Linked DNA regions of Mus musculus. The protein of the gene in region 1 interacts with the protein of each later gene in a biochemical or structural test. Links are inferred from orthologs where the notes say so. Each region holds a gene or a part of one and is shown in the gene's direction. Other genes may lie near its edges. The genes, in order: Ube2d1, Trip12, Znrf1, Trim32, Cop1, Trim39 and Rnf8.

What was found.
Region 2: the proteins of Ube2d1 (region 1) and Trip12 form a complex in vitro, tested with the Homo sapiens proteins (5 studies listed by BioGRID). The link is inferred for Mus musculus from reciprocal best matches to the Homo sapiens genes UBE2D1 and TRIP12.
Region 3: the proteins of Ube2d1 (region 1) and Znrf1 form a complex in vitro, tested with the Homo sapiens proteins (2 studies listed by BioGRID). The link is inferred for Mus musculus from reciprocal best matches to the Homo sapiens genes UBE2D1 and ZNRF1.
Region 4: the proteins of Ube2d1 (region 1) and Trim32 form a complex in vitro, tested with the Homo sapiens proteins (4 studies listed by BioGRID). The link is inferred for Mus musculus from reciprocal best matches to the Homo sapiens genes UBE2D1 and TRIM32.
Region 5: the proteins of Ube2d1 (region 1) and Cop1 form a complex in vitro, tested with the Homo sapiens proteins (2 studies listed by BioGRID). The link is inferred for Mus musculus from reciprocal best matches to the Homo sapiens genes UBE2D1 and COP1.
Region 6: the proteins of Ube2d1 (region 1) and Trim39 form a complex in vitro, tested with the Homo sapiens proteins (2 studies listed by BioGRID). The link is inferred for Mus musculus from reciprocal best matches to the Homo sapiens genes UBE2D1 and TRIM39.
Region 7: the proteins of Ube2d1 (region 1) and Rnf8 form a complex in vitro, tested with the Homo sapiens proteins (2 studies listed by BioGRID). The link is inferred for Mus musculus from reciprocal best matches to the Homo sapiens genes UBE2D1 and RNF8.

The regions. Positions count from the first base shown.
Region 1 is NC_000076.6:71,257,825-71,261,558, reverse strand, and holds part of Ube2d1 (ubiquitin-conjugating enzyme E2 D1), read left to right. Parts: intron 1-1,739; coding exon 1,740-1,817; intron 1,818-3,252; coding exon 3,253-3,358; intron 3,359-3,734.
Region 2 is NC_000067.6:84,738,305-84,741,804, reverse strand, and holds part of Trip12 (E3 ubiquitin-protein ligase TRIP12), read left to right. Parts: intron 1-2,148; coding exon 2,149-2,291; intron 2,292-2,970; coding exon 2,971-3,127; intron 3,128-3,500. UniProt on the Homo sapiens protein: E3 ubiquitin-protein ligase involved in ubiquitin fusion degradation (UFD) pathway and regulation of DNA repair.
Region 3 is NC_000074.6:111,535,143-111,539,577, forward strand, and holds the start of Znrf1 (E3 ubiquitin-protein ligase ZNRF1), read left to right. Parts: upstream 1-1,497; 5' UTR 1,498-1,998; coding exon 1,999-2,422; exon of another isoform or gene 2,423-2,507; intron 2,508-3,159; exon of another isoform or gene 3,160-3,191; coding exon of another isoform or gene 3,192-3,324; intron 3,325-4,435. UniProt on the Homo sapiens protein: E3 ubiquitin-protein ligase that plays a role in different processes including cell differentiation, receptor recycling or regulation of inflammation. Mediates the ubiquitination of AKT1 and GLUL, thereby playing a role in neuron cells differentiation.
Region 4 is NC_000070.6:65,603,443-65,608,012, forward strand, and holds the start of Trim32 (E3 ubiquitin-protein ligase TRIM32), read left to right. Parts: upstream 1-1,543; 5' UTR 1,544-1,627; exon of another isoform or gene 1,628-1,841; intron 1,842-1,873; exon of another isoform or gene 1,874-2,115; intron 2,116-4,570. UniProt on the Homo sapiens protein: E3 ubiquitin ligase that plays a role in various biological processes including neural stem cell differentiation, innate immunity, inflammatory resonse and autophagy.
Region 5 is NC_000067.6:159,325,960-159,329,802, forward strand, and holds part of Cop1 (E3 ubiquitin-protein ligase COP1), read left to right. Parts: intron 1-1,117; coding exon 1,118-1,242; intron 1,243-2,642; coding exon 2,643-2,803; intron 2,804-3,843. UniProt on the Homo sapiens protein: E3 ubiquitin-protein ligase that mediates ubiquitination and subsequent proteasomal degradation of target proteins.
Region 6 is NC_000083.6:36,268,540-36,273,066, reverse strand, and holds the start of Trim39 (E3 ubiquitin-protein ligase TRIM39), read left to right. Parts: upstream 1-1,633; 5' UTR 1,634-1,730; intron 1,731-2,289; exon of another isoform or gene 2,290-4,000; 5' UTR 4,001-4,005; coding exon 4,006-4,458; intron 4,459-4,527.
Region 7 is NC_000083.6:29,628,223-29,632,065, forward strand, and holds part of Rnf8 (E3 ubiquitin-protein ligase RNF8), read left to right. Parts: intron 1-737; coding exon 738-800; intron 801-3,448; coding exon 3,449-3,538; intron 3,539-3,843. UniProt on the Homo sapiens protein: E3 ubiquitin-protein ligase that plays a key role in DNA damage signaling via 2 distinct roles: by mediating the 'Lys-63'-linked ubiquitination of histones H2A and H2AX and promoting the recruitment of DNA repair proteins at double-strand breaks (DSBs) sites, and by catalyzing 'Lys-48'-linked ubiquitination to remove target proteins from DNA damage sites.

The DNA.
Region 1 (3,734 bases):
TTTTTCCCCACCCAAGGAGCAGTGATGACAGTGAGACGGCCTTTGCCTTTCCATGAACAAAATGCTAATAGTGAAAGAGCAGGCGCCCGGTGAGAACACACTAGCAGTGTCCTTCCTGAATGGCCTTACACACTCTCCCTGGGATGCTTTATGTACTCAGTCATCGAATTTTAAATCGTTTGCCCTATAATCCAAACTGGGGGAAAAAAAAAAAAGATGCTGAATTTCAAAGAAGAGCCCCTGAGGAATGATCCTAAATGACTAAATTAGCCTATTAAGAAGCGAGAGCGCAGCATATTTACCTAGCAGCTTTCAATAAGAACGTAAGTTCTTTTCCGGCTCAGTGTTCACTATCTGCATGAACCTTCAAAGCCCCATCATCCAACAGTGTGCTTCCATCAGAGCTGTGGCACAGAGGCACATCTCAGGTGAATCATGTGTAACAAGCAGTTGGGATGTTGTTTTGCATGACTCTCTTATTGCAGCAGTGTAGACCCGCCCCACCACCTTTTGTAATGTCACTCCACTGTCCATGCGGACCATGCTTGTCTTTGTCATTTGTTTACATTTTTTTTTAATGTTTAATGAACTAGAATTAAGCAACGTAGTGAGAATAATTAGACAATATAACCCTCTAATCTTAGAACTTTAAGGATTGAAAGAATGACACACATGTTTTTAGTACCCATGATGCACTCCAGTAAATATGAAGGAATTAAAAGTACAATCTGAGGGGGCTGGAGAGATGGCATAGCGGTTAAGAGCACTCATTGGCTGCTCCTCCAGAGGTCTTGAGTTCAAATGCCAGTCACACATGGTAGCTTACAACCATCTGTAATGGGATCTGATGCACTCTTCTGGTGTGCATGAAGATATCATAGTCATACACATAAAATATGGGTATATATGTACTCATATACATAAATTATAAAAAATAGAATTTGGAATATATTTTGCTACTATTTTGGTTTTTTTCCCTTAATCTTTCTCTTTTGTTTATATAAATTGCATGTAGACACATGTACACACACGTATACATACACACACACATGCATATACACACATATGCGCACACACATACATATATACACATGTACATATACACACATACATATACACACATGTACATACACACACACACACACACACACACACACACACCCCATTACACTAAAGTTGATTCTTAATTCAACATATCATGAACACTGAATTCATCCAGCTTGGTTTTAGAGTTTTATCTTCTATAATATAAAGTACTTACTTGCAAATGAATATTGAGGTAAATCATACAATGGTACCCACTTAACCCTCTTACTCACTTTTTCCCTTTGGTTGTACCTGTGTAGACATTAGAACTTAATATTTTGAAATTTAAAAAGGTAAATATTAGTTGTAACCTTCTAAAACCAGCGATGACTGCTCTAGAGAATCCTCCTTCCTCCCCACAGGCCTCGACCCATGATCTGTCTGGTTAAAGCACACCGCTGTGCGAATGCGCATGTGCTTCCCTTTAAACTTGGTGGGCCCCTTGGGTAACTTCATACCTGGGAAGGAGCCTGTTCTCCATAGAAATTCCTCCAACTCATGGTGCAAGAATCGTGGGGTTTTTTTACAAGCTGATACTGGTGGAATTGTGAAGAAACTGCAAATCCTTCCCACTGTTAACTCCCGGGGACCATTCAGAGGGGTTGAGTATGTGCCGTGGCCAGAGTCTGATGCGCCCTCTCGTGTAATTTCAGCCTGACAGCGCCTATCAAGGTGGAGTCTTCTTCCTCACTGTCCACTTTCCGACAGACTATCCCTTTAAACCACCAAAGGTATTTATCCTGTGCATCTGTCCCATAGCAGGGATTTTTACTGTTTGTCTAGAGTGATCTTGTGACGTCACAGACCATAGGTAGGTTAGCAAGTGCATGCCCCTTTGTGTGACCTCCAGGTCTAAAGTTCTCCCCTGCAGCCTCCTCTCCCTCCTTTTTTCTAATTTATTTGATGTGCATTGGGGTTTTGCTTACATGTATGTCTGTACGAGGGTGTCGGATCCCCTGGCACTGGAGTTACAGAACAGGTGTGAGCTGCCATGTGGGTGCAGGGAATTGAACCCAGGTCCTCTGGAGGAGTAGCCGGTACTCCTAACCACTGAGCCATCTCTCCGTCCCTAGAATGCTCTTTCTTAGTCAGCTGTTTTCCTATGCTTGCTAGGCTCCTGGGCTTTTCCTCCTTGTGAGATATGAGTTGTTCGGAATGTTTTTACAGTCAGGAAAGCAGGCTTTTCCATCCGTAATGTTACCTTTCCAAAACAGACCCAGCTTTCTTAAGTGTAGTGTGTACTTTAAAAAAAAAAAAATCATGCTATGGCTGGCTGCACAACGGCTATGTCCCCAACCCCCAAGGGGATCCCCAAGCGGCTGTCAGCCCTGGTTCCCTTGGTAAAACCACTCTGGACTTCCCAAGCTATCCGCCCCTGTGGCCCCCTGAATGGGGGTGGGGAGACCTCAGTTGCCAGTGCCTAGTTGGCCATAGCATGGATCATTTTGGGTTTTTTTTTCTATTGTTTTTTTATAATTACAGGCTACACTTAAGTATTCAGTGAATGTACATTGAGCTTCATCATGTTCCCCTCACGATGGGACTCACAGTGGGGACACTGAAAGGCAGAAGGGGATGAAAACACGTTTTCTGAGGTTTAAAGTCCAAAGAAGAGGCAAGTGGTGGGGGTGAGAAGGAAGGAAGGAAAGGAACTTATATGCCATCAGGGAAATAATTATAGCACTTTAAAAACCACCCAGCTTAAAAATCATACGGATGACGTCACACAACAGTGGCTCTGTCAAGACCCGGCTTCTCTGTGGTTCACCAAGGACAGGCGATAAGCTGAGGCATCCCACGTCCGCCCTGACAGATTCTGTGTCCTGTTTATAGATCCAAGTGGCCTTCTGGGTATCACTGACAGTCAGGTTAAGAGAAATGTTTTGAGGTGTGATGAAAGCCAGAGTAATTGGTCCAGGTGTCACTCAGCCCATCATACCGGCTACTGCAGACTTCTCACCACACCCCAGACACTTCCCAACGCCTGGAGGAGAAAAGGAGCTTAAGCTAAGTTGGTCTCCTTCGGATTCCCAGGGGCTGAGCTGCGCGTATACAAGTCTGCTCCAAAGCTGTGTAAAGATGAGCGCCTTTTACCCTTGAGTGGATCGGTTCTGTTTGCTCCTATTTGTGGCAACCAATACCCTTTTTGTTCCATTTTATCTTTAGATTGCTTTCACAACAAAAATCTACCACCCAAATATAAACAGCAACGGGAGTATTTGTCTTGACATCCTGAGGTCCCAGTGGTCGCCCGCTTTGACTGTATCGAAAGGTAATTTTGTTTTTCGGATTTAAAAATAGGCATGGCGAGGATTGGGACCAGCGGTTGAAACAAACAAACAAACAAACAAACAAAATCATACAAACAAACAAAAATACCTCAACCTGCTGTGTTTTCTTCTGTTTTGATAATTGCTTTTTCTAAGAACTCTTTAGTCACGCTGGTTTTCAGTAAACTTTGGAGTTCGGGTGGGGTGGGGGAAAATGAATAGATGGGCAAGTCTAAATGAAACCAGAGATTTAAAATTCAGGAACTAAAGGCTGGAGAGAAGGCTTGATGAAGTACAGGTGCATACTGCTCTTCCAAAGGTCCTGATTTAGTGTTCTCAGCGCCAGGGTTGGGCAGCTCACGACGACCTGTAACTCCA
Region 2 (3,500 bases), on another chromosome or scaffold:
GCCTGCTTGTTTCTTAACAGAATCCATGCCAAACTCATGATGGACTGAGACATCACATACCCCCACCCCTACCCCCATCCTCCATATCTCTCACTAATTGAGAAATGTCCTACAGGCTTGCCTGCAGCCGAATTTTCTTTTTTAAATCATGTCTTTAAATTATGTGAGACCATTGTTGCTGTTTTCAGACACACCAGAAGAGGGCATCAGATAGTTGTGAGCCACTGTGTGGTTGCTGGGAATTGAACTCAGGACCTCAGGAAGTGCAATCAGCGCTCTTAACCACTGAGCTATGTCTCCAACTCATATTTCATTTTTTCATTGTTTTTATTTTTTTGAAACAGGGTCTTTCATTACGGCCTGGCTACCCTGGAATTGACTATGTAGACCAGGCTGGCCTGGAACTCAGAAATCTTCGTATCTCTACTTCTGAGTGGTAGGAGTAAAGGTGTATGCCACCAAGCTTGTCCTCCTACAGCCCAGTCTTATGAAGGCATTTTCTTAATTGAGGCTCACTCCTCTCTGATGAGGATAGCTTATGTCAAGTTGGCATAAAACTAGACACAAAGGCATATCACTATTAAAGCACACCATTTTTTATTCTTATTCACCCCAAAGATTGCATGTTAACATCACAGTATAAAACAAGTAACTTTTAAAGTTCCATAGCCTTTACAAATTCCAATACATTAAATGTTCAGTCTTTTAAAAATGCTGGGTGGAAGTTGTGCATGCCTTTAATCCTAGCACTTAGGAGTCAGACACAGAGGATCTCTTGAGTTTAAGGTCTAAGGGGCATGTTCTAGAATAGCCAGGGCTACACATAGAAACACACACAGACACACACACACACACACACACACACACACACACACACACACACACACGACAGAAAAAGAAAAAAAATCCAGTCTTGTCACCTCCTGTTGAAATCAAAATTATTTTAAATACTTTTCTCTCTTCAAGAGGACATAGCCACAGTCTGAACAAAGCAAAATCAAACTCTTAACTATAAACAACTCAGTTTCCAAAATCTGGGATTCATTCAGTTTTTTGGAGTTCCTTCAAGGGAGTCATATTTCTGGTTTCCTCTGCAGGAAACACTGCATGTCTTCTAAGCTCCACTTCCCTGCTGCTGCTGTTCTTATGCCATGGTATTGGCACCTTCAAAATGTTAGGGAGTTCTGCAACTGTGATATACTTTCACTATCTCTTCAGCAATTTGAGTCCTGCCACATAGTGCCAGACCTCAGCTGCTCTTCATGACCCCTTCTTGCTTTCAAAACCAGTACCACATGGGTGACTCTTAAACTACCAAGTTCAGCTGCCAGCTCAAGGTATAACCCTGGTCACCTCTGGAACACAGCTGTTGTGTGCTCACTCCAAGGAAACACTTCCTCAGAGGATTTCATCTCAGTGATGTTAGTTTTTTCATCACCATTAATTTTACAGCTCCACCTAGCCACCATCTGTTGTCCCAGTAGCAAAGGTTTCACTTCAGTGGTACTGGTATCTTGTTAATCACAGCTGAGTCTTAGCCCTAGCTGATAAGAGCCACAGGTTCTTAATTCAAATTATGCAATGGACCTGATAAAGTCTGTAATCTTCTCTCAAAACTTTCCTCTGGAATTTCACAAGCGAGGCCTAACTACATTCTCTGTATTTCTCAACATTTTTATCTTCAACTTCCACAGTACAGATCACCAGGGTTTGAATGCTCAATGGCTTTTTCAACCCAAAGTTTAAAAGGTCGTTCCACAGTCCCCTTAAAGAGAACAAGGTCAGGGTCTAGCATAGAAATACCTCAAAATCCTAGTACCAATTTCTTAAGTTTCTGTCGCTGTGGTGAAACACCATGACCAAAACCAAGTTGAGGTTCTCTCAGATGTCTTGTGTCAAGTTGACATAAATCAAGTCAGCACACGTTTTCTTCATGTAAAGAGTTGAACACCTCATTTCTTAAATACATAGTGTGGGAATAGTGAAGGGGAATAGCTTTATGAGGTTTTGATGTAGGAATTTTCAGAAATCAGAAACACCATTGAGGAACCGGGTATTGTATGTTTTTGTTTTTAAAAACAGATGAAAGCTATGGACCAACCCATTTATGGATATAGAAAGAGATTTTGAATTTATTTTATTTTACAGAATGCGATGTGCAAGGAGATTATTCCAACTAGTGAATTTATTAACAGTAAATTAACAGCAAAAGCAAATAGGCAGCTTCAAGACCCTCTAGTAATCATGACAGGAAACATCCCAACATGGCTCACTGAGCTAGGAAAAACCTGGTAAGACAGTCCTTTGATAAACTTATAAATATTAACATGATAGTCTTTTATCATGACTTGTGGTAGAAAAGATGTAATTGATTTGTTCAGCTCTTTACCAGTATTATAATACTTGTTGACAACAATACTTGTTGAACCCATTGAAGGATATTTGACCGCAGTAAAGTCCTTTGCCTTTGTAAAAATGGAACTGCAGATACATGATTGCTTTTTGTTGTTGTTTGTTTTTTAGCCTTGTTTGAACTAGATACTATAGACCAATTATGGTAAAATCAAGTTAGAAATAGTTTTTATGTGGATTCACCATATCTACATGGTGTGACATTGTACCAAACACATTTAAATTAGCATTTCAGGAGCTTTTTACAAAAAGAAAAAAATGGATCAACCCTTCAAAGTCACTGTTGGAATGCTGGGAGATTAGTTCTTGACAATGACTTTCCAGTGCTAAGCCTGTGGTGAAGATCATGAAATACTAAAGCCATTACCTTTTGTATGTGGGATTTCAGGAAGAAACATTTGTGATATTGCAGTGGTGCGCCACCATGGGCCTGTCCACATGAGAGATTTAAGAGGACTATTCTTGCTAGGAGTTTATATTAGATGTTGTGTCCAATATAGATTAAAAATGTCTTCTGATTCTCACCTAGATGGTAAATTTGTATTTTATCTTTTATAGCCCATTTTTCTTTCCTTTTGATACCCGACAAATGCTTTTTTATGTAACTGCATTTGATCGGGACCGGGCAATGCAAAGATTACTTGATACCAACCCAGAAATCAACCAGTCTGATTCTCAAGACAGCAGAGTTGCGCCTAGATTGGATAGAAAAAAAGTAAGTATTTCCCAAGAGTATTTATGTTGATCTTTCCAAAGTAAAGGCAGGACCTATTTTGCCTGTGGAGTCACAGCCTTCACTTGATCCTAATGTCTGTATGCCTGAGTGTTCATGTATGTGCCTAGAAGAAAAGGTATTAGGTCTACTTCAGGTGGAGGTTGTGAGCTACCTGGCGTGGGGGCTGGGAACCAAGTAGCAAGAACTCTTAATTGCTAATTCAGTCATTCTCTTTAAAAATCACTCATATGTTAAAAGTGTTACCTTCTTAAAACTCTAGCCTTTTTTTTTTCCTTTTTTCTTTTTTTCTTCTTTTTGGAACATTCTTTCTTTAGTTACCATGTTTATTAAGACTTTAATGTCTTCTTTCCCA
Region 3 (4,435 bases), on another chromosome or scaffold:
AGGTGAGCACCACAGCCATGAAAATTTTTGCATTGGCTTTTCTTTTTCTTTTCTTTTCTTTTCTTTTTTTTTTCGAGACAGGGTTTCTCTGTATAGCCTTGGCTGTCCTGGAACTCACTCTGTAGACCAGGCTGGCCTCGAACTCAGAAATCCTCCTGTCTCTGCCTCCCAAGTGCTGGGATTAAAGGCATAGGCCACCACTGCCCAGCTTGTTCGAAGCTTTTAGCTCACCCCCAGCACTCTGTGCTTGCAAACAACCATCTTTCTGTGGCCTTCCAGGCTAGTCACACTGGAAGAGACAAGTCTATTAGCCCCTTTAAATCTCCCTCCAATTCCATTTTCGGAAGCACGGAGCCCACTTGACAGAGTGACAAGAGAAGGTCAGGTTAGTGACTGGGTGATGCTTACGGTGCTCAGAGCTGAGCACTTGAAAAATTATTTGCTCAAAGAATAAGCAAAGTGAAAATATGAGAAAGACTGGGACTGACCTGGCAAGGTGAGTCTCTGTTGCAAAATGCAATTTGGTCAACAAATATTTATTGAGTACTGTGCCCTTGCCTTGTGGCTCTATGTCAAAATATGGCTCTATGTCAAAATACATGATAAACAAAACAGCAATCGGCCTTGGGCAAGGAGTTTCTAAAACAGCTTTCCCGCTGCATGGTTCTTACTTTTTTTTTTTTTTTAATCCACCTATTGATTTTGAGGATTATATTCTAGCCTAAGGAATCGATTCAGACCCAAATAGTTGGTTCTGATCTAACGACAGCAAAGTCTAGGCGCCACTGGGGCACTGTTGTATCTCCTAACAGCTAATCCCAAATGTGTTTGGGTCCAAGCTGATTCCCTCCTCCCCCCCCCCCCCCGCCCCCCATGCTAAACTTCCTAAGGTTGGCTGGGGTCCTTGGATGGAGAACCTCCAAACGAATGGACAGCATATCCACCAGAGGGTGCTGTGAGGGCAGGTCTGTGGCGGGAGGGGAGCTCCCCCAGTGACCCTTCAAACCCAGGTAGGCTTTATTAGTTGGTTTTTCTTTCTTCTCGGTGTTTCCTTCCTACCCGCTAAAACCGTCGTTACCCCTCCCCCCACTCAGGGTCTCGTTTTGAAGACATTGATTCGACTTTCGCCGCGACTCCAGCAGAGCTGTGATCCAGAGGAAGTCTGACCTCTGTCGCAGACGCCCGGCGGCTGGAGACGTCCTGTCCCTGGACCGCCCGGGGCGCAGGCGGTAGGTGGGTGGGGACCTCCAAGGCCGCAGCTCGCTGCTGCGCCGCAGGGGCCGCGAAGGGGTTAACCCGGCGGGGGGGGGGGTGCGGGAGGAGGGAGGGGGCGCGGGCCGCGCGTGCGCTCTGCCGCCCTCCATTGTCTCCACGGCGGCGAGGAGCGCCGGCGAGCGCAGCCCGGGACGGAGCGGGGCGGTGCGGCTGGCTGGCGGGGCCGGCGGCGGCTGGAGCCGGAGCGCGACGCCACGCGACCGCGGCTTCCAGAGCTCCGCCTGGCTGCCCCACCGCCGCGAGCCCTCCCGAAGCCTGGAGGAGTGAGGGCCGCCGGCGCGGGCTGAGGAGTCCTGAGACGGGGGACGCGAACGGCGCGGCGCCCGGAGCCTCCGCCGCTTCCTGCTGCGGGCGAGCGGCCTCCTCCGGCTCCTCCCTCCCTTCGCTGCGGCTCCTTAGGCTCCGGAGCCCGGGGGCGGCCTGTGGCGCGAGGCGCCGGCTCTGGACCGCGCTTCTTCGGACCTTAAGGGGAACATGCATTCGGCTTGGACAGTTTGAAATTCTTAGTTTGGGGTCCCCGCTCGCTTGCTTTTTCCACCCCGCGGATTTTTTTTGAGGATTCCCCCCCTCACCTTTTTTCATTTTTCTCCCCTCGGGGCTCTTTTGTGACTCTCCCCAACCCCAACCCTCCGCCTTTATGTTCGCCCAGACCTCCACCCGCTTCTGAGTAGTGGGGGAGGGTTTCAGCCTCCACGTTCCCGCCCCACCGGGGCCCCGGCGAACATGGGGGGCAAGCAGAGCACGGCGGCCCGCTCTCGGGGCCCCTTCCCGGGGGTCTCTACGGATGACAGCGCCGTGCCGCCGCCGGGAGGGGCGCCCCACTTTGGGCACTACCGGACGGGCGGCGGGGCGATGGGGCTGCGCAGCCGCTCGGTCAGCTCGGTGGCGGGCATGGGCATGGACCCCAGCACGGCCGGAGGGGTGCCCTTTAGTCTCTACACCCCCGCCTCCCGCGGGACCGGCGACTCCGAGAGGGCGCCGGGCGGCGGAGGGTCCACGTCGGACTCCACCTATGCCCACGGCAATGGTTACCAAGAGACCGGCGGCGGTCACCATAGAGACGGGATGCTGTACCTGGGCTCCCGAGCCTCGCTGGCGGATGCTCTACCTCTGCACATCGCACCCAGGTGGTTCAGCTCGCACAGTGGTGAGTCCGCGGGTGACGGAGGCCTTGAAGGGTGGAGTGCAAGGGAGGGCGCGCCGGGGCGCCCGAAACCTCTTAATGTGCTAAGGTATGGGTATGAAGCTAACTCCTGCCCTTCCCCTGGTTCCTTCCATGTCAGAGGATGAATAGGATCAAATAAGATAACTACTGCCTAGGGGGAAAGCTGCCTACTAGGCGTGTGGAGCCGGGTACCTTAGGACTGCAGGCATGTGTTCACTTGTGGATGGCTGAGTGAAACCTGCCTATTGAGGTCGCATTTATTAGCGTCATGATCCTCAAAGGTCTTCTTGTCTGAGACTCTTCATTTCTGCCGCTGCAGCATGGTACCTACCTTTCTGGTTAAGGAGGTAGTGTCTCCTAAACAAAGAGTGAGAAAAGAAATAAAACTAGGGGCGAGTGATTCTTGGATTAGGGTTCTTATTCTCGCTAGGAAAGGGAGGTGGTTTGTTTTTCCACCCGACTGGTTTGCTGTATCAATTGTTTAAAATGGAACAGGAGGCTGGCTTAGACAGGTGTGGTCTGCTATGTGGAAAGCCTCCGTCTTTGGGTTTGCAGGACCAGGATTCTGGTCTGCATGCAGTAGATTTGGCTCAGGGATTCTCACATCCCTCCATCTTTTTTCCCCTGCTCCACGATAAGTGCTTGTTCTTCCCGTGATTGTGCATCTTTTTTTTTTTTTTTCTTTTCATAGAGCCCAGGAGAGGTGGGGTGGTATTGCCCCACAGCTGGCACATGACTAGGGAAGAGGAAGATGGAAAGGATGGAGATGAACTCATTCTGTGCACTTCTGGTGACAGGCCAGGAAAAGGCTGGAGGGGGATTTCCCAGGCCCTGGCTGGTGGTAGGGCAGCAAAGGCCTGGCAGAGACTTCTACAGGAAAACAGGTCTGTCTGCTTGGCTGTCCTGAGAAGCCAGGGCAGGCCTCTAGAAAACTGGTCAAAAGGGGTGTGGGGTTGCTGCTTGTTAACTACCAGTCTGAGTGAAGCAGTTAAGTATTCAGACTCTTGTGCCTGAACTGGGCAATTTTTGTTGCTGTGTAGGAGAAATCATTCTCCTGTCCTCAGGGTCCATTATGGAGGGCTTACCTGTGAGGTCACTGTTGTAGCTCATTGCAAAACAAGGTAGGGTTTGTTTTGTCTTGTTTGGTTTTGTATCTTTCCTTCTTTTGATCAATTCCATAATTTTTGAAGTAACTTTGGTGGGTTATAGTGGCTGGCTTAGAGCTTCTTTGACTTTAACTAAAATGCTGGACATCAGACACAAGGCATGTCTGCTTTTGGTACCCTCTAGTCATTTGGTCTGTGTTGGGCATGTTGGAATTAATAATCTTCCCTAAATAGTTGAGTCCAGAAGTCTCAGCTTTATTTCGAGACGATTATGAGTACACTTGTAAGTGAACTGTTATTGGCATGCTTTTAAAACAATTTTGAGTGCAGCAAGCAAATACCTTTATAAAAGCTTATATGGGGAGGGAGAAAAGGAGTTATCGTTTTGGTAAGATTTCTTAAGTCTGTCTCTTAATAGAAACTTCATTATCCTTGTTCTATTGTCAGGTTCTCTGATAGAGTTATGAACTTACAACTGAGTTCCAATATCTCACACTCTCCAGATATGAAGGCTTAGTGTTCTCCCCACCATCTTACTCCCACCCAGTCACGGGAGTAGGGAGTCCCACTGAGTGATGGGAATACAAGAAAAGTTAGAGTCATCCTTTGGGTGTCTTTAAAGTGTACGTGGCAGGCTCTTGTTAACATTATAGGTAATATTTGTATATATTTACTTATTTTTAGTATATAGAACCACCTGTGCTTTTTGCAAGACTCTGGGCCTATTGAATGCTCCTGGCATCCTGCAGTTCACCTCATACTGCCTCTGAATTCCCAAATGGCTTTTATTGGGGTGGGTGTACCAGTCTGACTGTGAGCTGCCTGTGCTGTTCAGCAGAGGTGAGCATTCATTTGTGTCAGTGTTAGAACAGGCCGTGGAATTTTCTGG
Region 4 (4,570 bases), on another chromosome or scaffold:
GCCTGTATACAGATTCTCATCTATCCCAAATAACACACTCTACTGTGGAAAAGGCCTATGGATATTTATATTCACAGAACAAAAAACTCCTAAGTCTTAACTTAAATGCATTGTGGGGGATATCAGGTAGATGGGCTACAGCAAGATAGGGAAAGTTCTTTTATCTTTTCCGGATGTTATAACATTCTTAGTGGAAGCTCATAGTCTTCTAACTTTAACTATACATTCCAATGGTTTACCTTATAGTCAGAAGATTGTTAGGCCAGAGTCATAGGTTGTTAATAAATGGCCATTAAGAGAACTAAAGCTAGCCCAAGATAAATTGACTATGTGTCTACAATATGTTTTATCCTTTCCCAGTTCTAGGTATTTGGTCAGTCCATAGAATTGCCAGCACAGATATAATTTCTTCAAGGAACTTTGAGTCACATATTCTCTGGGAAAGCCTTGGGAGTTCTGGGTGCCTGGGTTGGCTCAGGGCTCTAGAATTATCTGAGATATCAAATTGTACTCAGAATGTATAATCAGGAAATCCGGCCAGGGATAAAATCATGTGAGAACTCCTGAATCACTGAGAAGAGAAACAAGTTGGAGAATGAATAGCCTGGTTCAGAGTTCCATCAAAATCGATGCCAGGTGTATACCGAACCTTGGACAAGATGTGTGGGACAGGGGCGGGAGTGAGGTGGGGGAAGGGGATAAATTTACTTTTCCCACCTTTCTGAGTTATTAGTAACTCATCAAAACAATCCTTAACTTTATTTTGAGATAAAGAAGTAGAAAAATGAAGTTAAGAGTGATTCTGGGAAATTAAAGCCAGGTTCTGACAGGTAGAAACTGGTTACTTTGCCTTTTAACCCCTAGGTCTCAGCTTCTTTTCAAAGTCTGTAGTCTGTCGGAAAGTGTCTAAAGGTATTACTGTTTTTGTTTTGTTGTCTTATCATTGTGCAGAGGGTACACAGCTAGGTGGAATTTCAAATATGAGAGCATAATATTTCAGATTCCTTCATATTCCTCACTAGTACTGTGTGTTTATCGCATTCAGGAGCAGGTATTACCTGTCCACAAACTACCTTCAGGACCAGGAGGTCCTGGCCACAAAACCTCCCGTCTGACAAGGCTCAATGCAGGCTTTTCCCTGTTTCTCCCTCTGCTATCCGCCTCTGCGCTGTTTGGCAAAGAAAACGTCTTTCCTAAGGGGCATGTGTTCAGTGACTCCACTTTGGGATGTGTCACAGGCAGAAACACCTAGCCCGGGGACCTGCAGCTCTTTGAAGGGAGTGTGCTTGTCTTCTTCAAAGAGGCGTCTGTCTGCAAAGTGCCCGAACTTTCTGGAGACTACTACTGGGGGATTAGCATTGACTAACCATGTTTAGACTCTGAAACGGGGCAGAAAGCTGCAATGGCCTAGGTTTCCGGAGCCATCCCTATCTATTCAGCTGGGCCGCGGGCGCTGAGCCCACAGACCTACAAGCCCCAGCATGCCTCGGGAGGCGGGGCAAGTTGACGGGCAGGCGACTGTACGAATTGGCGACTGCCATGGGAAGGACGTGCTAGCGCATGCGCAGAAGGCAGCGGGCGGGTGGGCTGGCAGCGGTGGACTCGCGTCGGAGCTGCGGGCGGTCAGGTAGGGGGCGGGAAGGAGGGTCTGCGACCAGGGACTGTGGTGGGTCGCGGGGATCCAAGATTGAATGGCAGGATTTGGGGACTGGATCGGAGTGGCAGGATCGGATTCGGAAGGGACGGGCTCAGGAGCGATTCGGCGGAGATGAGATGCAGCTGGGGGAGGGGAGCAAAGGGGCTGAGGAAATTTGCAGTTGCAGCATGTCGGGAGGTATGAGGTAATGTGGGGGCCATGCGGAGAGACGGGGTGCAGCATGTGGGAGATGGGAGGATCTGACGTCCCTGGAGGTATCTGGGTGCAGAATATCAGAAAGCATAAAGGAATTTGGCAGGCCTGGATGAGGTTGGGTGTTGGCGGGCAGAATCTTAGGGGCTTTGAGGAGATCGGTGTAATGATAGCAAGATCTGAGATCAAAACAGCCAAGGTCTTGGAAGATCCTAATTGCTGAAGAGAAAGGGATTTCTGTAGCGGAATCTGGGAAAGACTGAGGGGTGAGTTCCCGAGGGAATCAGTACCCAGTTAGAAAATCGCAGCAAAGGTTTGAAGGCAACACGTGAGGCAGGACGGGGGCGGAGGTGGGGGGCGGGGGTTGGAGGTGGCCCAGTACAAGATGGGGATGATGGGCAGATGAGCGATCAGATTGAAGGAGGGCAGAAATCTGAGGTACAGGATTGGAGTTTGGAGATGGCATACAGGGGTGATAGATGTGGGAATTTGAAAATAGATTAAAGGATGTATTGGAGGGATGAGGGACACATAAGAGCTATTGGTGAATTGCAAGGCTGCAGCATACAGTCTAAAAGGTTGAATGATAGATTTGGGATTTAGCGTTGAGAATGAGGTTTGTGGAGAATGAATGGTGGGGAGTGAATGCTGTAACTAGATTATAGAATTCAAAACCAAATGAAATTTGTGAGTAGGTTCTTAGGAGGTTTTTGTTTGTTTTTGTTTTTGTTTTGGTCTTGGCATAACTGAACCCAGAGGGTCTTCTGGAGACCCAGGGACCTGAAAGTAATTTATAAATAAACTATGTATAAATGAATGGAATTTAGGAGAATGTAAGGGTTTGGGAATAAAGACACCAGTCTTCAGAAATCCTGAAGGAGAGTTTGACATTCTTTGAAGGGCAGATTCTTCCTCACTTACTAACTAAAGGCCCTTTAATCCTGAGGCAGGCATGTATTCTGACTATACCCACTCTGACCACCCCCACCTCCTCATCACAGACCCGATATTATAGGCCTTGGGGAAGAAGCAGTGAACTACCTAAGGGCTTCTGCTACCTAGCCTTTTCCCTGTCCAAGGTATGAGCCAAAATGATCTTCAACCTAATATTATCTTATAGGAGGTCCATTATAGCTCACAGAGACAATGGTTCTGGGTGAGAAACAAAACAAGGTTGGAACAAGGCGGAGCCTCCTGTCTACTGAGTATTTAGCCTGTGCCATTACCTAAAGCCAGGGTTCTCAGACAGGGTGCTTTTGTTCTGCCAGGAAACATTTGACCGTGTCTGGATGGAGGCATTGTCAGTTGTCATAGTTGAGGGGTTGTGTGTGTGTGGGGGGGGGGATACTTGGGGGGGGGGATACTGGTTTCTAGTGAACAACCCCTACAATAAACTATCATTTAGCTAGAAATGGCAGTCATGCCAAAATGGGTCCTGGCATCAGAGTCAAGAATGCTCTGGTTAGATCCTGGCATTATTTATTTATTTATTTGTTTATTTATTTATTTATTTATTTTTCTCTTTCTGCTTTGTAACCTTTAAAGAGTCAATTGACCTCTCAGTGCACAAGCTCTTCAGGGACCTACGTCATAGAATGGCTGTGAGGACTCAGTGTACTAAATCAGGGTGCTTACTGTTTGGTGCCCAGTAAAAGTGCTCAGAATTTACTACTTTTGAAAATATGTGTGCTTTCTTCTCATGATATTCCTTCTAAATATACATTCACTGTTCAGTGTTACCCACGAAACTAAGGCTTAGGAGGTCACTTGTCTAAAGCCACATTCCTGCCATGTAGCTCCCCGCCACATCCTCTCTTCCATTGCTGGTTTGCTGCGGTCGGCTTGGTCTTCCCTTTGCAGCCTCTCCTAAGGAAAGGGAGGCTTGCCCCGTAGTCAGAAGCTGGGTGACTTCTCTTGATTAAGAGAAGCCCTGGACTTTGTTCTTGCTTTGCTCTTAGACCAGAGCCAATGGGGAGATAGTGCAAGGAGCTTGGAGCTACACGGCTGAGATAAGGAGGGCTCAGGCTCAAGGGCAGTGCTAGACGGAAGGAAACTGCTCTGAATGTTCTCCTTTGTGCATCTTGTCTCTGGCACAGAAGGGCAGCATTGTCTTTATCAACTCCAATCCTAGCTACGCTACAGAAGGCAGTTTAGAGAACAAAATTAGACTGGAGCTGAGGGCAGAACACTTAGCTGCGATGACATCAACTCAGATCGCTTAGGAAAACACCTGACGGAGGTTGAGTTGGCCGTGGAATCGGCTGTTTTACTGCTTGCTTGGTGGTCAAGCACTTGCCAGCCTCTGTCTGAAAACACAGCGAGCTCGGCTGAGTGCTGATTAATGTGCATTCTCTCCATAAGGCCCACAATCTAAATGTTACTCCTGATTCTACAAGGCAGAAAGTGAAGAGCCACTTGTTAAATGACATATCCTGGGTTACAGAGCAAGTGGCTAATTTGGGCATATAAATCAGAAGTCACATGCTGGCAAGCCTCCTAGAGTGCACCCTCCTGTATGCAGATGGTGTTACCTTTGGGAGACTTCTTCCATTGTGCCTTTCTGATAGAAAGGTATGTTTTAAAAGTCATTCCTGGATGAATTTACCAACCTCTAAGCCAACTCTTACCTGCAGGTAAAAGTAGTCTTTTGGTCTGTGTTTTCGAGACAGGGTTTCTCTGTGTAGCCCTGGCTGCCCTGGACTCAATTCTTAGACCAGGCTG
Region 5 (3,843 bases), on another chromosome or scaffold:
GGAAACATAAGAGAACATCCATTGCAACCCTGGAATGAAACAGATTAAAGTGCGTTTCTTAAAGATTTAGTTAGTTAGTTTATGTATATGAGTATTCTGCCTACATGCATGCCAGAAGAGGGCATCAGATCCCATTAGAAATGGTTGTGAGCCACTATGTGGTTGCTGGGAATTGAACTCAGGACCTCTGGAAGACCAGCCATTGCACTTCACCTCTGATGTCCAACCCCTAAAGCACATTTCTAAAAGACCTCAAATGCTCAAATCAAACCGTTTAGATCTTGGAATTATTCACTTACAGCCTTGTGAACCTCAGTTTTCTCATCTCCAAAATGGGGCTAACAATAGCACTAAGTTTTTTAATCTTTAATAAAGTAGGTAAAACCTGTATCGAAGTGTCCTATTCAGTGATGATAGATGTAATTAAAAAGATTTAATTATGTAGTCCTTAATATATTGACATATTCCCTTAACGAAAGTATAAGAAAGCAAATCAGTATGGGAAAGCAGTTTGCAAAATGGTATCAGTTTTAAAATTGCCTTTGTCTATTAGAATTACTAGTGATTTTTTTTTTTTTCAAAAAAAGAGGTTGTTTTGGGTAAGCAACTAGATTTATATATTCTTTGAGCACAATAGACTGCATCATGTAGCAGCAACAATACCTCTTACCTGTAGGGGATAGCATGAAAATAATTTATGTCTACTGTACCAGTAACTCACCAGTTGACAGATCAATCACAGTGAGAAGCATGAGGGTCTCCCTGAAGTGAGACACATCTCTCAGGGCAAAGTCTAATTATTTATTAATGTAATGGTGGGATGCTGGGATTGGACCCATTAATGCTTGCTTTCTGCATACCCAGGCATTACTGAAAGCATGTTAAACGAGTTCGGTTTTTACAGTGTTGGGTTCATTTAATTCTATAAAATAGATCATCATATGTCATATTTCACTGTTAAAACTGGAGCCAATTGGGACAAGACTCAGATGATACACAGGCACCACAATCTGCCTTTTTAACCACAAATCTAGATTTTTTTTTTTTTTAATTCCTAGTGGTGATAGTTTCATACCATGAAATCTAAAATTTTTACTCCTCTTTGTATTTTTCTCAGCTCAACAGACAGCCAACTAAAGCTGTGGAATGTGGGAAAACCATACTGTCTACGTTCCTTCAAGGGTCATATTAATGAAAAAAACTTTGTAGGCCTTGCTTCCAATGGAGATTATATAGCGTGTGGTAAGTGCACTTGTATTTTTAAACAAACTCTGCAAAGACGTGTCCTAGCAGTGTTCACTGCAGTCTGTGCACTGGGAAGGCAGCATCACAGCCTTGATGCTGAGGACGGTGTTCTTTTCTTTTCTAGCCATACTGGGGAGAATTAGTTTTCATTTCTGCAGATGAGCCCTGTATTCATAGACTTGCCAAAGATTTTCACTGCCCTCTTGTCATTTTAGATATGCCACAGTTTCTGTAGAAACTATTAATATCTGCTAGTAGTATTTCAAGAAGACATCTTTTCAGAAGCTTGATATTTATTTTACCCTCTCTAGTGTCCTTTTGATGTAGCAGTCGTTTGACTTGCATGAATCTAATTCATGAGTTTTTATTATAGAGAATTTGTGCAAATTTAAATGGGAAGTGGAAAAATTCAATTTGCTATTGTTCAAATGTTCTGATAGAGTAAATGAACTTCTGTCAACACTTTTAAATGATATTGCCCTTATTCTATAAATTGTATTTTCTCCAAATATATGATCTTAAATACCACCAAAGTAAATATGCAGTACAATTATCCTCAGAGGCTCCTGAAGTGTGTCAGCTTGACTTCTCATCTGATAGGGTAATGCTATGTGGGGAATGGAGAATCAGTTTGGGCTACTCAAATTGGTCTGTTTTTGTTTTTGTTTTTTTGGTTTTTTGTTTTGTTTTGTTTTTTGAGACAGGGTTTCTCTGTGTAGCCCTGACTGTCCTGGAACTCACTCTGTAGACCAGGCTCCCTGCCTCTGCCTCCCAAGTGCTAGGATTAAAGGCGTTCACCACCACTGCCTGGCTCAAATTGGCCTTTTAAGAACTACAACCCTAATTTTCCTCTCTTCATGGTAATATTTACAAATGCAGTTTAGGATTCTTGTTTCAGTAAGAAAATTCTAATGCACAGAGCTCTGCTATAAGTGTTTTTTTAAAATATAAATTCTTTTCAGTTTTAGAATTATCAACACTGTAAACCATTTAACAATGCTTATTTCTTTAAATTAGTAAATAATAGTTGTACCTTTTCTCCTGTAGTTCGCAACTAATTGGTCTTATAATCTTGTCTTTCAAATGTGAATATAAAAGATAATTGGTGTTTTTAGTAAAATTTAGATAAATAATCACTGTCTAAATGTTGTGTTTGGGAACTGGGGCTAGAAATGAAGTTCACTGTAGCTAAAAGTCTTAGATTCAGTTTCCAGCGCAGAGTGATAGAGTGTAATTCTAGTTGGCCGTGATGGCCATACACCTATGATCCCAGCATCTGAAAGGTAGAAAGAAACAATTGTGAGTTTAAGAACAATCTGTGCTATATAGAAAGACTCAAAGACATATTTATGCAATCTAAGTTTTCCCATTCTAAAACAATTCCATTTTCTTTTTAGGAAGTGAGAACAACTCCCTCTACCTGTATTATAAAGGACTTTCTAAAACTTTGCTAACTTTTAAGTTTGATACCGTTAAGAGTGTATTAGACAAAGATCGGAAAGAAGATGACACAAATGAATTTGTCAGTGCTGTGTGTTGGCGGGCACTATCAGACGGGGTAAGTTTTCATATATGTATTTTAATCATGGCATTTTATATAATGTTTATGAGTGCACGTAATAGGTTGTTTTATTGTTTTTGTCTTGGATTTTAAGGTATAGCTGGGTAAATGGTTTGGTTTTCTCTTTTTTTCAGGCATCACAATGCCTGGCGGGGGCAGTGTTTTTATAGTTAGTATAGCATTAGTGTACTATTAGTGTCTATTCGATGACACTGATGTAGCCCTTAACAGTCACTGCTGCACACTGACTCATGCTGAGCAGCTTTCAGTCTGGAAGGTTCTCTCAGTGTCATTGCCAGGTATAAATATAAATAAATGTAAATATAACATGCCATGCATCTTCTGTACCATATTTTAGCATAGCATTTTATATCTATTTGTATAAACAAACACTTAATTCTAAGTATATCACCAGTCTCCTTACTACTTAGTATTAATATAGTAGCATATAATATAGATTGTAGTTTAGGAGCAACAGATTTTATATATATCCGGGGACAGAGTTGGGCTGGACAATGGAGCTTTGCATAAGTACATGATGTGATGTTTCCACAACAACAAGATTAATGAGTAGGTCATTTCTTAGCATGTCCTCACTTGCCTTAAGACTTGACAGAAGACTCTCCAGACTAGGAATGAGCTACACTCAGAGAAGTTGGAGTCGAGTGTTCCTAAGCTACACTGCATGTGTGACTTTAAGTGAAGAAATGTGGTCTAGGGTAAAACAGTGAAAGATAAACTGTCACATTGGAAATCAACTTCAGATCCTGTGAATCCCTGAAATTGACTGAGGGGTCCTGGACTGCTGGGGCCCAGAACACAGACTTAAATTATCTATAAGAGAAAATTAACATACTTACTTTTCTCATTTATTCTTTTGCTTTTTAAAATACAGTAAGCAGGGCACAGTAGCAACTAAAGAGGCATAGGAAATATAAGACAAAATAACTAGAAATTCAGCATAGCCACACACAACAGAAACAGAATGATGGCAGCTCTGGATTACAGTTAACTCGCCTGTCTCACAGTAACCATGC
Region 6 (4,527 bases), on another chromosome or scaffold:
TTCTCTTTCTTCTCTTCTCTGCTCTCTTCTCCCCCCCCCCCCCCACCTTTCTCCGTCTCTACTACCCTCTCAAATCCCCTCCCCATTCCCTGAATAAACTCTATTCTATACTATGCCATCGTCATCGTGTGGCTGGTCCCTCAGGGGGGAGGGATGCGGCAGCATGGGCCTGCAGAGGCACCCCTCCTCCCACACCTGACTACACCTCCACCAAACACACTCCTTCTCTCCTTATCTTTTTATAAAACACAACAAGGAGGCCAATGTGCAAGTCTGGAGTCTATCCATAAGCTCCATCTGCTCTCCCAGAGAAACTTAAGCAAGGTCTTCAAAGAGAAAGAAGCAGGCTTTGGTTCCCACCCAGTGTTTCCTGAGCACAGGATTTGGTCCTCCTGGCATCCTAGATGCAGGGGCAGCAAAGCACCGAACTAGACCGGTTTTCTACACTCCAGCTCCAGCCAGGGAAAGCGTTTCGCTAATGTCAGCTGTGGTGGCTACTCCTGGTGGTCAACTTGACTATCTGGAAGGAATTACAACCCAGAATTGGAGGGCTCACCTGTGATCCAGATCTTGAGGCTGGAAGACACAAGTTTCTGACCTGGATCTTGACATGGAGATCTTGAGGTACAGTGGCCATTAAGTTTAGGACCAGGCAAGGCAGTACACGACTTCAATCCCAGACTGGGGCAAGGAGTTCTCTGAGTTCAAAGTCAGCCCGGGAGAAAGCAAGTCCCAAATCCAAACAAGGTGGTGCACACCTTAATCTGGGCCACGCCTTCTGCTGGAAGTCTACATAAGGACATAGGAAGAAGGAAGATTCTCTTCTTCACGGGCTTGCACTTACTTGCCAGCACATCTGTCGGAACCTACTTCTACAGAAGACCAGCTGAAAGAACTAGCCACGTGGGACTGCGCAACTACTAGATTCTTGGACTTCCCATCCACAGCTGCCCATTGTTGGGTTAGCCTGTAAGTCATCACGATTAATTATAGAGAGAGAAACATTCACTAGGTTCTGTAGCTCTAGAGAACCCCTGGCTAATACATCACCCAACCGGAGGAGGGGAAAAGACGCACCTCGGTCTGCAGCCAAGATAACTCACCTACTACAGCTTGCCGGTTAAATTGCCAAACCTCAGCCAGTCGGAAGTGACGTGCCAGCATAGACTCTCAGGTCGGCCACGTAATACACCGCCGCCTTAAACAGCAACCCTCCCCCAGAATTGACCCGGAGACCGGGAAAGTGTGGCCCAACGCCCACAACCCGTAGCCGCCCAGGCCTCTGCGGTTCCCAGCCCCACCGAGGACCAGCTTGAGCCTCTGCGGGCTCGCTGACCGCGCAGCTCTGCCAGCCCAGCCACGGCGCGCTGCCCGCCATGGGGTTCGGCGTCTCGCCACGCGCATGCGCGGCCCTCAGTCTCCGGGGGACCGCTCTGGTCACCTGGGCGCCAGCACCTCAGCCACGGGAAGCGGCGGGTTCCCTCTCGCCCGGTAAACTAGCCGCGCAGGCCCTCGCCTCCGGCTCTCCGCCCGCCACCCGCCGCGGGCCCGACTAGGCCCTGGCACGGCGGCTCGGCGCCGCGCAGCTGTCTTCCATCGCCGCAGCGCGGCTTCCGCTTCCGGCGAGTATTGTGTGTCGCGCCGCGGGGCGGGGGTGAGGGGAGGAGGAAGGAGGGAGGCAGTGCTCCGGCGGCTCCGCGCCCGGCACTCCGGGACCCGGAGCCGGGAAGGTAGGTGCTGCGCCGCCGCCACAAGGGTCCCGCAGCCGGCTCCAGCGAGCGGGCTCCTCTCGCCGCGGCCCTACGCCCGGCGAGTACGTCAGCCGGCCGGCGCGCAACCACAGCTGCCTCCGCCCGCCTCGGGCCCGGAGGACGTTTGCCGCCCCGGCGACGTCAGCGCGTCCGGCGTTGCTTGGCTACCCCGCCGTTCCCCTGTCCCGCTGCCTTTGGTCTCCCCGGGTGAAACTGACGCAGTCATCGCGGGTCTGGGCTGCGACATGGCAGCGGGCATCCCACCTTCACGTCACACCTCTCCCTCACTTAGACACGCATCCGTTCCTCCCTGCCAAGCACGACGTATGCTCCCTCACTCTGGTCCTCATGCTCCCGATATGGCTGGAGAAGATGGAGAACGGGTGGGACAGAGTTGTGGCCAGTGCTTGAAAGAGGCTCCTGAGGTGGTACCCAATAGTGATTAAAGGCAAAACGTGGACGTCTCTGACGCGATTACTTACACTGAGATCGAGTAATGGAGAGTGGGAGGAAGGATCAAGCCAGAGGAGCACAAGGCCATATTATGGCTGCCCTCTACACCACCACCACACCACCCCCAGCTCCAAATCCTCTCCGTTCTTCACTATCCTTGAGCCCGTTTCTCTCTCATACCATCTATTTGCTAATTAGATACATGCAGGTCTCTCAAGTGTGAATATGGTTCAGTTTTAGGTGAGGATGCCACTTATCTGTAGGATTGAGGAGGAGGAGGCTAAGTCACTAGTCAAAACTGGATTCTAATGGGCAGAGAAGAAAGAAATCATCCAACTGTACTTATCTGGATCAATTCTTTTCTCCATTAAAAGAGGATAAGTTACCAACTCCTACTTAAAATCCTTCCATTTGTACCACCAGTATACAGAAATAATCATTGTTGCCCCAATTCATTACATGGGCACTTTTCTGTCGATGGGTAGACCTATCAAATTTCCTTCCTTTTTGGGGGGCCCCTTTTGGGACAGAAGGAAAGTAGGGGGTTATGGGACCAGATAAATTAGCTTACTTATGTATTGACATCTTAAGAATGGAGAGCTTTGGTTGTCTCTTTCCATACACTTATTCATTTATTGAGACCAATAACTATTTATTGGTTATATTTAATTTAGGCTGGCCTCGAGTTCCTGAGGCTCCTGCCTTTGCCTCCTCGGTACATGCGCTACCTACCTAGTATTAACCATACCTGGCTAATTTCCTTCCTAATCACTGACTATCTAAGGAGTTAGTTATCAGTAGTGACGTTGAAAGACTGCAGTCACCACTGAATGTTTAGAATGTACTTGCCAGCTCTCTCTCCAAGAAGCTGCTGCCCTCAATGCACTCAATGGTGCTTCCTTAGAGCTGATATGTATTTGTTGCTTTGCAGCCATCCCAGCTGCACACAAATAGAAATGCGGTGAGTGACAGGAGCATCTTCAAGAAGAGAGCGTTCTTCCTTTGGGCTAGTTTGGGGAAAGGAAGAACCATGTCATGCTTTCCCTGAAACAGTGTGTTACTGTAGTGTAACTCATTAAGAGGAACAGCAGACAATCAAGGCTAGACTCTAAAACAATAAACTTCCTATGACGTTAGAAGAAGTAGCTTGGGGTTCTTTGAAATCGATGCAGTAATTATATATGAAGTTCTTTAAAGTAGTAATGAGTTCTAGGGCTGATAGTCAGTTTTAATAGATATGTAGATATATTATTTGTTTTACAAATCTTACTCTACAGCCCAGGCTAGCCTTATTCTTGTATTGATCCTCCTGCCTCACAGTGAGCCACCATGCCCAGCTAAAATCTTAATACTTTGGCTTATGTGACATATCTCATTTCCCATGGTTCCCTCCCTGTAGAAATAAGATCTGTGTAATTCAAGCTAACCTAGAACTCATTGTGTAGCCTACGTTGGCCTTCAGCTAATGACAGTCCCCCTACCTTGACCTCAAAAATGGCTAGGGAAATGGGTTTCAGTCGCCATATCAGGCTCCTTTTCATTGCTGGTATTGAAAAAGCAGAGGTAAAGAAATTCTGGGCACTGCTGATATTTGCTGACTCAAAATAATAATAAAATAATAATAACAGTGATGGGGAGAGGTCACACACACTGTAAATAGACCAACAGATGAAAAGGTGGAAATGGGAGAATACCAAGATGGGGCTTCATCTAGACCTATGGCTTACTGGGAGCTAATGTCAGGAAACAAAATAACCCTCCAACTAACACTTCTTTCCTCTCTCCCTGCCTCCAAGTTATAATGGCAGAGACAAGTCTGTTAGAGGCTGGAACCTCTGCAGCCTCCACAGCCGCTGCTCTGGAGAACCTGCAGGTGGAAGCAAGCTGTTCTGTATGCCTAGAGTATCTGAAGGAGCCAGTTATTATTGAATGTGGGCACAACTTCTGCAAAGCGTGCATTACCCGCTGGTGGGAAGACCTAGAGCGGGACTTCCCTTGCCCTGTCTGTCGGAAGACATCCCGATACCGGAGTCTCCGGCCTAACCGACAGCTAGGCAGTATGGTGGAAATCGCCAAGCAGCTCCAGACGGTCAAGCGGAAGATCAGAGATGAAAGCCTCTGCTCCCAGCACCACGAACCTCTTAGCCTTTTCTGCTATGAAGACCAGGAGGCTGTCTGTCTGATATGTGCAATTTCTCATACCCACCGGCCCCACACCGTCGTGCCGATGGATGATGCTACACAGGAATACAAGGTAGGCAGCCAGGCCCATGATGCTAGGGTTGGGGGTTGGGGAGGGCAGCTGAGAATATACTCTGAGTAG
Region 7 (3,843 bases), on another chromosome or scaffold:
ACTGGGATTAATATCCATGGCTACTCTGTGCTGAAGGGACAACTGCGAAGTCTTTCCTGGGACTCAAGGTTAAAGGCAGAAGAGACTGGTTGAGATGCATGCCTGACGCTGCGTGGGAGCTCAGCTCCCTCTGCCCTCACGGTAGCCTGGCCTGACATTGGGTTTGGAATTCTGCTTGGTATTAAAAACCCAACTTTTTTTAATCATTAAGTAATTTGTGCTCCCTATTAGCACATTGGAAGAATGGTTGGCTGGCACATCAAATTCCAAATGAGTTGAAATCCCCCACCCTGTAGGTAATCCCTAAGAACAGAGACTGCCTGAAAGAAGCTGGCGGAAAGGCAGCGGAGGCTCAGGCCTGGGCAGAGAGTGCTTGGAGAGGGTGGGTGGTGCAGAGGGACAAGACAGGGAAGGAGTGTGGGGCCAGCCTTGGGGATGTATCTGAGTTTGGGTGTTTGTGGCTCTGTTCTCAGACTCCATTTATTTGAGTATTATGGCAATAAAAGCAACTTAGACTGTCACCCCGTGGTGCTTCAGAGCTGCCGGAAGCCCACTCCTGAGGCGGGTGATGGTAGTGGAGCAGATAACTGCTCGCATCCCTTGCTGAGAGCAGTTTGAAGTAAACTGGGATCTTCCTGCCCGCTTCCTGCCCCATGTTCCTTGTGGTGCCGGCTCCTAGGTTTTGTTATCTTACACCCTTGACTGCAGAAACCTTCCATTTCGTTTTGGCTTTTCAGGGTTTGGAGAAAGAGCAAGGAGAGTGCGACCTGAAGCAACAGCTGGTGCAGGCCCTGCAGGAGGTAACATAATCTCTACCCTTTCCTTCCAGAGGCTGTGGTGGTTGTGAGTGGGGAGCAGCTAGGCACCACATGGCCACTAGCTGCCTCTGCCTCTGAGCCACTCATCTGTGTTACCGCCAGGCTGCAGACAGAACAGGTGCCAGGTGCTCACACCATCAGGCTGGAGATTTGGAGCTTCACAGATACACAGCAGATCTCAGCGTGGAAGCTTACGGCTTCATCAAGGCACCACCTGGTGATGACAGAAGAGCCTGTAGACGCTCTCTGGGATGGGGACTCTACTTCCAGATTAGTGAGGGCAGCAGTTAGCCATGCCTGGGCCTTAGGGCCCGAGAGAGCCTGTGTACCTCACCATTCCTACACTGTGGCATCCAGAAATCATTCAAGAGGATTCTCCTCTTAAAAAAAAAAAACCCATTAACAGAATAGTGCTTGCTCCTTCTGGTGTGAAGCTCTCCAGCAGACTGCCAGTGGTTTATTTCACTGAACCCTAGTGTTGGGGCCGGCCAGCAGCTCACGTGTCCGGGTTCGAGCCTGAAAGGCATCTTGGAATCTGGAAGAAAAGAGGGAGCCTAGGCGGATTGAGAAATAATGGAACCAAGACAACTATTCTGCTCAAATTTGAACTAGGTTCAAATTTTTAATGGTGGACAAGCTTTATAAAAGACTGGGGAAAGTCCATTCCCGCCAATTCATCCTTGGAGCCTGGAACCAGCTGCAGGTGATGATGTGAGGGATAGGGCGTAGTCTAATAGCTGCGGGGCCTCTCAGCTGGTAGCAGTATCTTGAAGAGGAACAGCGACTGTGGCTCAACAGTCGAGTGATCTAGGGAGGAAGGCTCCACCCTAGATAATCTCCCTAATGGCTGCAAGGTCAGGTTCTGGCTCAGCCTGCTTCAGGTTTATGGGAGGCTACATCCTAGGGCTTGACAGCCTTTTATGTGCTCCTTATACCTTTAAATCTTCCTTCAGCTGGTTATGGAAGCACACACCTTTAACCTCAGTACTCGGAGGCAGAGGCAGGTACATCTCTTGAGTTCAAGGCCAGCCAGGTCTACATAGTGAGACCCTGACTCAAAAAACAACAAAAACTTGCTTCATCTCTGAGCTTTGTGATCAGTAATTTGGTGGATTTTCGGCCGAAAGGTTAGTGAGATGGTTAAAGTCTCATTGAGCACAGTGAGCGGCTTACATATAATTTGTTCAGGGTTCTCTCTGTTTGCTCATTACAGACCTGTCAGCCTTATCGGTACTAACAGTTATGTGAGAGGGAACCTGCCTAGATTTGCTTGTGGGCAGATGCATAAATGGCTTCAGAAATAATTAGGTGAAAATTCTATTTGGATTTTATTTATTTATTTATTTATTTATTTATTATATGCAAGTACACTGTAGCTGTCCTCAGACACTCCTGAAGAGGGAGTCAGATCTCGTTACGAGATGGTTGTGAGCCACCATGTGGTTGCTGGGATTTGAACTCCTGACCTTTGGAAGAGCAGTCGGGTGCTCTTACCCACTGAGCCATCTCACCAGCCCTGGATTTTATTTTTTAAACTTATCTACTTCATGGGTTGAAAGGATAGGCATTGTTCCCATTTGAGTATTTAAATATATGTTTATTTTACTGTCTGTGTGTGTGTGTGTGTGTGTGTGTGTACAAGCATTCACATGGCACTGGAGACTTGGTTGCCAGCACTCAGACAGCTTACAGCCCCTTTAACTCCAGCTTCCGGAGACTGGATACGGTTTTCTTCCTCCCAGGTCGTGTGAACACAGATGGCTTATACTCATACACACACAGTAAATAAAGACATTGTGTGTGACCACGGGTGCTTGTGTACCACAGTATGTGTGACGGGAGCTTTGGGGAGTGGGTTTCCCCCTTCTCCATATGGACTCCAGAAGTCAAACTCAGGTCTGCAGGCTGCACTGCAAACACCTTTACCCAATGAGCCAGCACACTGGCTTCCTAGTGGGTTTTTTTTGTTTTGTTTTTTTCTAGACAGGGTTTCTCTGTGGAGCCCTGGCTATCCTGGAACTCACTTTGTAGACCAGGCTGACCTCGAACTCAGAAATCCGCCTGTCTCTGCCTCTCAAGTGCTGGGATTAAAGGCATGTGCCAACACTGCCCAGCGCTTTCTAGTGTTTTTAAACTACTGCTTAGATGCTTTGAAACTGGCCAGAAAGTCAGGCTTTGCCCCTCTGTGAGGAAGGCCTGGGGTTTTGTGCTCCCTTGTAGCACACCGCACCTGTCTCGAGGCTTGGTCATGCAGTCACGCATCAGTCTGAAGTGGTATCGGGCATACTTTCTGACCTTGTCTGACATCGTGCTTGTGCTGGTGTGGATGACCCCTCTGAAGATACTCTCTTTTTCAGACTGCTAGAACTGTAGAACCCATAGTCACAGTGACACCACTGCTGGCTCTTGGGCGTGCCAGCTCGTAGACGACAGTGGCTGGTCTAATCGATCTGCTGTCCCCTCTCCCCTGTCCTGAGCCGTCCATCCTGAATAAAAGAAGGCTGGTTTTGAAATTGTCATCACTGGTCCCTAAAGTAAAGCGACCGAGCAGAGGGAGGAAGCAAAGGTGTATGGCTAACAAGAGGGTTGGGACGCAGCTCATCCTGATGGCTTACCTGCTCTTTCTGTAGCATCAGGCTCTAATGGAAGAACTAAATTGCAGCAAGAAGGACTTTGAGAAAATCATTCAAGCCAAGAACAAAGAATTGGAGCAGACCAAGGTACGGGATGGAGGACAGAGTGCAGTGCCTGTGGCCCAGCATTCTGTAGAGTGCGTGGTTGCTGTGGTGAATGCAGACGGTGTTCCTTACCTCTGGGAGATAATCTATAGTTACTCACTGTGAGGCAGCATCCCTGTCCTTCTTTGGACCCTGCATGCTAGCCTTTGTCTAGGGCGGAGTCTCCATTCGAAGCTGTCTGTCTCCCCATCAGATCAGTAGAATTCTTAAGTTATATGTTGCAAACATCAGTGCCTCCCAGGGCCAGACCAGTAATAAAAGTAAGGGAAGCAGCCTGAGCGTCAGAA